2 linked regions of the Cricetulus griseus genome follow. The protein of the gene in region 1 purifies or fractionates together with the protein of each later gene. This does not show direct contact. Links are inferred from orthologs where the notes say so. Each region holds a gene or a part of one and is shown in the gene's direction. Other genes may lie near its edges. The genes, in order: Ap1g1 and Ap1m2.

Region 1 (3,816 bases):
AAAAAGAAACCTTAGAAAAAGAGAAGTAAATGAGTTTCATTTACTTAGGACCACAGACTCAGAATGATCAGTTCGTAGTTAATCTTTATTTCGTTTGTATTTGTTCTGTCATTGCTTCACCGTACTGAGGATTATTTTGTAGCTAAAATTGCATTTTTTTTTTAAAGAGTTTATTTATTATGTATACAACATTCTGCTTCCATGTATATCTGCACACCAGAAGAGGGCACCAGATCTCATAACGGATGGTTGTGAGCCACTATGTGGTTGCTGGGAATTGAACTCAGGACCTCTGGAAGAGCAGTCAGTCCTCTTAACCTCTGAGCCATCTCTCCAGCCCTAAAATTGCATTTTTATAGTCCAGTTTCTAACATTTGCCCTTAAATTATTGGTTTATTATATTCTTTTTTTGTTTGTTGTTTTGGTTTATTTGAAACAAGATCTTATACCAGGTAACTATGGCTGTCTTGGGACTCAGAGATCTGCCTGCCTCTGCCTCCCAGGTGCTGGGAGCGTGCGTGCGTGTGTATTTAAATCTTTTAAGTTTTACTTGGTGCTATTTTGAGTAAGTCAATTTTCCAAAGTAAGTTTTTCTGGATTTGCTATTTCATTTTCAGTGTAAGGCTTCATGAGAAGTGTAAATTTTTTAGTATTTAAATTGCTAATTGGAAGGATTTATGGCAAGCATGCTGATGCTAAAACCTTATTTTTAAAAAAGTAACTAAGGAAGAGAATTGGATAGTACAAATTCCTTTTGTGGCAAAATGATGGTTACTTTTGTCTTGCAAGTTTTTTTTTTCCTCCTCCTCCTCCTCCTCCTCCTCTTCCTCCTCCTCCTCTTCCTCCTCCTCCTCCTCCTCCTCCTCCTCCTCCTCCTCCTCCTCCTCCTCCTCCTCCTCCTTCTCCTCCTCCTCCTCCTTCTCCTTCTTTTCCTCTGCTGGGCATTGAACTTAGGGCCTCACAAACCAGTAGCTTTACCAGTAAGCTGTGTTCCCAAACCTCTAGCAAGTTTAAGAAGGTGGAATAAATACTTAGAAATCTATCATTACAGTTAGAATAGTATAATGGTGACTGAATAGAGATAAGGCAATGTTATTCTGTTTTTTTTATTACTGGATTAAACATAGGTAATTAAAAAATTTAACCAGGAAATTCTGTTTTTAAGATTTTCTATGCTTCATTATGAACTTTGTGTTTTGAATGTTTGGTTTCATTTATCATTTTATCCTACAGCCGAATTAAGAAAGTGGTTTCTATCTATGGAAGCAGCATCGATGTAGAGCTCCAGCAGAGGGCAGTAGAATACAATGCACTTTTTAAGAAATATGACCATATGAGGTGAGCAAAATAAACCAAGCAGTATATGTACTTTTAACATTCTGAGTAACTTGTCCTTGTAGCCAGTGAAGGAGACACATTGCATGTTCGGCATTCACTGAGTTTGTAACTCTCCTTAGTTCTCATTGCTTGGCTGCTTCTGTTTTGTCCATTTTTCTCTTCTGCCTGACCACCAAAGAAATAAATGTATCGAGTGGGGTATGGTGTGGCTGCCTTCAATCCCAACACCCGGAGGCAGAGGCAGGTGGGTCTCTGAGTTCAAGGCTGGTCTGGTCTACACAGTGAGATCCAGGTCAGCCAGAATTACATGGTAAGACCCTGTCTCAAAATAAATAAATAAAAATTATTGCGTATTTTTCATTTCATGCTCCCCTCCATATAAAGTTTGTATCATTTTACATTTTATTGATTAAAAGGCAGTTATTTTTTAAGAGAAATAATTTTATTCAAATCCTATTACTTCAAACATTTGGTGTTATTGTTTTTGCCCTCCCCTCCGTTCTATTATATAATACCCAGCTCATGGCCGAAGTCTGCTAATACCTGTTGATTTACCTTCCTTCATCCTAGTCTCAGTTACTGAATAGCAGGTTTGGGGATTTGGGACATTTTGTTTATTCAAGGTTTCTTGCCTGTTCTTAATCCAGTTAAGAATTTAGGTCATGTATATATTCTTGTAATCTGCCTTCTACTTTAGTGTGTGTTGGATGGGGAGGGGAGGTGCTTCTCCCTGCTAAGCTTCAAAATTTAATCATTAATGGTTATTGTTTTGTGCAGGGAGTCTAGGTTAACTGCCTAGAATGTAACCACTTCAGATTCTTCTAGGTCTGCCCTACTTGAAAGAATGCCTGTCATGGAAAAGGTGACCACAAATGGCCCTTCTGAGATTGTGCAGACAAATGGAGAGACAGAACCAGCTCCACTAGAGACAAAACCACCACCCTCTGGGCCACAGCCCACCAGCCAGGTAGTCTTTACTTGCTTGTCTTGGGCTCCTGGTGATGTTTTTGTTCCTGAAGCTCATTTCTTAGCTGATAACCCTTAGTGTTTTTTGATTGCTTGATAATTGCCTTTCTTAATGGTTAAGTATGGGAAAAACAGTGTTAAATATACTTTAGATAAATAATTTATGAATGAAGATGTTATTTCCTTATTTAGGCCAATGATTTATTGGATTTGTTGGGAGGAAATGACATTACACCTGTTATTCCAACTGTACCCACCAGCAAACCAGCTTCTGCTGGTGGAGAACTTCTTGACTTGCTGGGAGACATCACCCTAACAGGTGAGGCCAGACTTGAATTATCTACAGTTTGGATAGGAGTAGAGATCTTGGGGGAATTCCTGAAAGCATTTTCCAGAGGAGTCAGCTGAGGCTAGAAGAATCCCTGAGAAGCAGGGGTAGGTGGAACTGGCAACAGCTGGGGTGTAAGCTGCCATGCTAATGCTTTGAGGGTCATTCCGAGGGATTACTTAGGCTAATTTATTTTGGAAGAATGGGTTGTTTCTAGTATTTTAAGATAGAAAGGACTTCCTTTTTTTAGAATAGAAAAGAATGGCCAGGCGATGGTGGCACAAGCTTTAATCCCAGCACTTGGAGGCAGAGGCAGGCGAATCTCTGAGAGTTTGGGGCCAGCGTGGTCTACAGAGTGAGTGCCAGGATAGGCTCCAAAATTACACAGAAACCCTGTCTCAAAAAACCAAAAAAAAAAAAAAAAAAAAAAAAAGGTATTTCCAGCCAATTCTGCTTTTTGTTGGTGCCTCAAAACCTCCAGATGTCTTTCTGCTCATGGTTAGTTTTCAACAGCTGTGGGTATTTGTGGTGATGGGTTAACTTACTTCCTACCATCCTCCCTCCCTTCTTTTATTAAAGCAACCAAAGGAGAAAGTACCCATGGCCTTTCTTGTCTTATGTGCACTAGCCATTTGCAAGTGGTGTATCCAAGAGTATCACTGAGATGTGTAATTTTATCCTACATTATCATGTAAAGTGTGGCTGAAAAGTTGGTGTCTTTATAAGTACAAAGGAACTCGAAGCTTGTCTGTCCTGAGAAGTGAACAGCCAGAGTATGGAACAGCTCTGCTCCCTGCCCTGGTCTAAATGATTTCCCTAAACACAGCAGGCACGCAGAGCTCTCATATATATTTTGTTTGCTGTTTTTTTTTTTTTTTTTTTTTTTTTTTTTTTTTGTGTGTGTGTGTGTGTGTGTGTGTGTGTGTGAGTGAGACCTAGACCTAGGGGTAGTGGGGATAGGTGGGGGGTGGGATATCACTGCGCAGCCCTGACTGGCCTGTAACTTGCTTTGTAGACCTGACTGGCCTTCAACTCACAGAGATCTTGTTGCTCCTGCCTCCTAAATACTGGGATTAAAGGCATGCACCACCATGCCTGGTCCACAATTTATATCTAAACACAGTTTTTAAAAGCAACTTGTTTTATCCCTTTAGAGTCATTTACAATTAGTTTCAGGATTGGAG
Region 2 (3,816 bases), on another chromosome or scaffold:
CCCCCACCCCCCGGGTTTTTTTGAGACAGAGTTTCTCTGTATAACAGCCCTGGCTGGCCTTGAACTCAATTTGTAGACCAGGCTGGCCTCAAACTCAGAGATCCACCTGCCTCTGCCTCCCAAGTGCTGGGATTAAGGCGTGTGCCACCACCACCTTGCAGAAGATAATTTTTAAAAATTTATTTTATTTTTAAGGGTGTGCTAGAATGTATGTCTGTGAACCAAGCAGGCTTGAAGAAAGCACTGGATCCCTTGAAACTGGAGTTAAAAGATAGTTGTGAGCTGCCATGTGGGTGCTGGGAATCAAACCTGGGTCTTCTGGAAGAGCAGCCAGTCCTAATGGCTGAGCCATCTCTGCAGGCTCTGGAAGGCTATTAAAGCAAAAAGTTGCTAGGCGGTGGTGGTGCACGCCTTTAATCCCAACACTCAGGAGGCAGAGGCAGGCAGATTTCTGTGAGTTTGAGGCCAGCCTGTTCTACAGAGCTAGTTCCAGGACAGCCAGGGCTCTTATACAGAGAAATCATGTCTCAAAAAAAGAAGTTTTTGCCAGATGGTGGTGTCCCAGGCCTTTAATCCCAACACTTGTGAGGCAGAGGTAGCAGATATCTGGTCTACAAAGCAAGTTCCAGGACAACCAGGGCTACTAAGAAAACCCTGTCTCAGAAAACCACACACAGACAGGAGCGCGCGCGCACACACCCAAACACACACACACACACACACACACACACACACACACACACACACACACAATGTCTTCCCATCCCTAGCAACCATTAATGGCCTATAGATCCTATAGTGGTAGCATCTCTTGCATCCCTCCCACAGTAGGAAGCTGACTGTCTGATTTGTTCAGGTACTCTTGGGACTGCCTCTCCTGCAGTCCAGCTGACCTTGAACCTCCAAGGATCACAGGTGTACCTAGTTGTTTATATTGGAATGTTTTACATTTATTCAGTTAGTTCTTTTGTGTGTGAGTGTGTGTGTGTGTGTGTGTGTGTGTGTGTGTGTATGAGGCATAGGTGTGCAGATCAGAGGACAGCAGGCCTTCCAGCACATGGGTTCCAGGGTCATCAGGTTTGGTAACAAGTGACTTTTCCTGCTGAGCCATCTCTCTCTAGTTTGTTTTGTTTTGATGTTGGTTTTTCCTGTACTAGAGAATTACATCTACTCATTCTGTTTTACTTTTTTTGTTTGTTTTTTTGTTTTATCGAGACAGGGTTTCTCTGTATAGTTTTGGAGCCTATCCTGGCACTTGCATTGGAGACCAGGCTGGCCTCGAACTCACAGAGATCCGCCTGCCTCTGCCTCCCGAGTGCTGGGATTAAAGGAGTGTGCCACCAATGCCCAGCCAGAACACAGATTTTTAAATATTTAAGATATACACTTTATTGAAGGTTTACATACTTTTAATTTTATGTATATGTGTGTTTTGCCTGTATATATGTCTGTGTACCTCATGTGTGCAGTACCCATAGAGGCCTGAATGGAATGTTGGATCTCCTAGGACTGGAGTACAGACAGTTATGTGTCTTGGTGCTGGGAATTGAACATAGGACATGGGTTCCCTGCAAGAGCAGCCAGTGCTCTTAACCACTGAGCATCTCTCAGGCCCACACTTTTGTTTGTTTTGTTTGTTGAAGCAGAGACTCTCTATTTAGTCTTGGCTGTCCTGGAACTCACTATATAGATCAGACTGGCCTTGAACTCAGCAAGACCCACTTGTCTCTTCCTCCTCAGTGCTGGGATTAAAGACATGAACCACCATACCTGGCCTCCACACTTTTTAAAAAAATTTTTAGGGAATGTAAGATGGATCAGACCTCTCATTCTAGAGCTTTGAAGGCTATAGCAAAAGGATGGAAAGTTAATGGCCATCCTAGGCTCCATAGCCAGACCCTGTCTCAAAAAACAGTCTGGAGTGTGGCTATTTAGTGGAGCCCCTGTATAGAATCCCCCAGTGAAGGGCAGGGGTGTGGCTCTTCAGTAAAGCCCCTGCATAGAATTCCCCAGTGAGGGACTGGAGAGTGGCTCATTTGTAGTCTTGATCTGTAGCCAGGTGTTTGTTCCCTCCAATCCCTGTACCACACCCATACCCAGAAAATCCATTTTAAACCCTCTCTAGCTGTCTGTCAAGATTCTTCAAGGTGTGGGTTTCCACTTCTGTTTTCCTCCTTCCCATCTGACATGTTGGATATGATTGATGATCACTTTTCCTCATTAAATTGCTCCATGGGAGAAAGCCTGTCTCTTTGTTTGCAGCCCAGGCACACAGTAGGTGGTCCATAACTGCTTACTGGCTGGCTGAGTGTGTTCCCTGGGACCCCATGCCCAGGTCTTCTGTGAGTATTTTAAGGAGCTGGAAGAGGAGAGCATCCGAGATAACTTTGTCATTGTGTACGAGCTGCTGGATGAGCTCATGGACTTCGGCTTTCCGCAGACCACGGACAGCAAGATCCTGCAGGAGTGAGTGCGGGGAGGGCGCCTGTGACCACGAGTCTGGTCCCTCCAGGTGTCCCTGATTTAGCTGTAGAGTCTCACTGTTCTTTCCAATAGGTACATCACACAACAGGGCAACAAACTGGAGACGGGCAAGTCTCGAGTGCCACCCACAGTCACCAATGCTGTGTCATGGCGCTCTGAGGGGATCAAGTACAAAAAGAACGAGGTCTTCATTGATGTCATAGAATCTGTTAACCTTCTGGTGAGCTTCATGTCCTGGGGGCAAGAGCGGGAACTCTGTACCTGTTGACACCCCATATTGGGACACCCCCTTTGCAGGTCAATGCTAATGGCAGTGTCTTGCTCAGCGAGATTGTGGGCACCATCAAGCTGAAGGTGTTTTTGTCTGGGATGCCAGAGCTGCGGCTGGGCCTCAATGACAGAGTGCTCTTTGAGCTTACTGGCCGTAAGATTGTGGGGGATCCCCTTCCCAGGGATGGGCTAGAAAACAACTAGAGGCCTCCTAGGCTTCAGCCAGTTCTAAGATAAGTGTTCACATGCCCTCTGATAATTGAGCCTTGTGTCTCAGCAGCAAAGTTCACCTAGAAAATGCTTTCTTTGTTAATGAGAGCTGGCTGCTGACCAAGCCAGTTTCTGGCCTTGACATTCTAGTGGAAGGAGACAGGTTAATAGTATTTGAACATCTCACAGAGACAGGCATAGTAATCCATGCTGTAATGTCAGCACTCTGGAGGCTGAGGCAGGAGGGTTAAGAGTTCAATGTCATGAGAAGTGGGCAGAGACAGATGGTTGATTCACTAGGAATTCCAAGGGGGCCAGTTTAGCCTAATCAGCAAGTTCCAGGCCAAAGGAGAAATGCTGTCTCAGGAAAAGAAATAAAAAAACAAGGAGGATGACATCTGAGGAAAGATACGTGGTATTGTCCTTTGGTGTCCATGTACACATATGCACATACATATTAATGTGTGCACACACAGACACACAGACACGCACATGCACGCACGCACGCGAGTGCACCACAATGTAAAATAAAAACAAACAAAGACGAAGTCAAGCATAGTGTAATCCAAGAACTTGGAAGGTAGAGGCAGGAGTTCAAGGTAATTCTCAGCTACTTAGTGAGTTTGAGGCCATTCTGGGCTACATAAGACCCCATCTCAAAACATCACACCAACACAAAAGAAACAAAAGCAGAAATGATACAAATGAGAAAGAAAAGGAACCGAAGAATTGGCTCAGCTAGTACAGTACCTGCACACCAACATAAAGACCTAAGTTTAGATCCCTAGAACACAAATAAAAAGCAGGTATAGCAGGGCAATGATGGTGCACACCTTTAATCCCAGCAATTCA

Evidence for each region.
Region 2: the proteins of Ap1g1 (region 1) and Ap1m2 purify together in Homo sapiens (affinity purification with mass spectrometry; 4 studies listed by BioGRID and IntAct, counting the BioPlex papers as one, with this or other methods). This does not show direct contact. The link is inferred for Cricetulus griseus from reciprocal best matches to the Homo sapiens genes AP1G1 and AP1M2.

Annotation. Positions count from the first base shown.
Region 1 is NC_048596.1:186,215,574-186,219,389, forward strand, and holds part of Ap1g1 (AP-1 complex subunit gamma-1), read left to right. Parts: intron 1-1,233; coding exon 1,234-1,338; intron 1,339-2,163; coding exon 2,164-2,305; intron 2,306-2,496; coding exon 2,497-2,623; intron 2,624-3,816. UniProt on the Homo sapiens protein: Subunit of clathrin-associated adaptor protein complex 1 that plays a role in protein sorting in the late-Golgi/trans-Golgi network (TGN) and/or endosomes.
Region 2 is NC_048597.1:134,160,262-134,164,077, reverse strand, and holds part of Ap1m2 (AP-1 complex subunit mu-2), read left to right. Parts: intron 1-2,335; coding exon 2,336-2,466; intron 2,467-2,556; coding exon 2,557-2,704; intron 2,705-2,781; coding exon 2,782-2,908; intron 2,909-3,816. UniProt on the Homo sapiens protein: Subunit of clathrin-associated adaptor protein complex 1 that plays a role in protein sorting in the trans-Golgi network (TGN) and endosomes.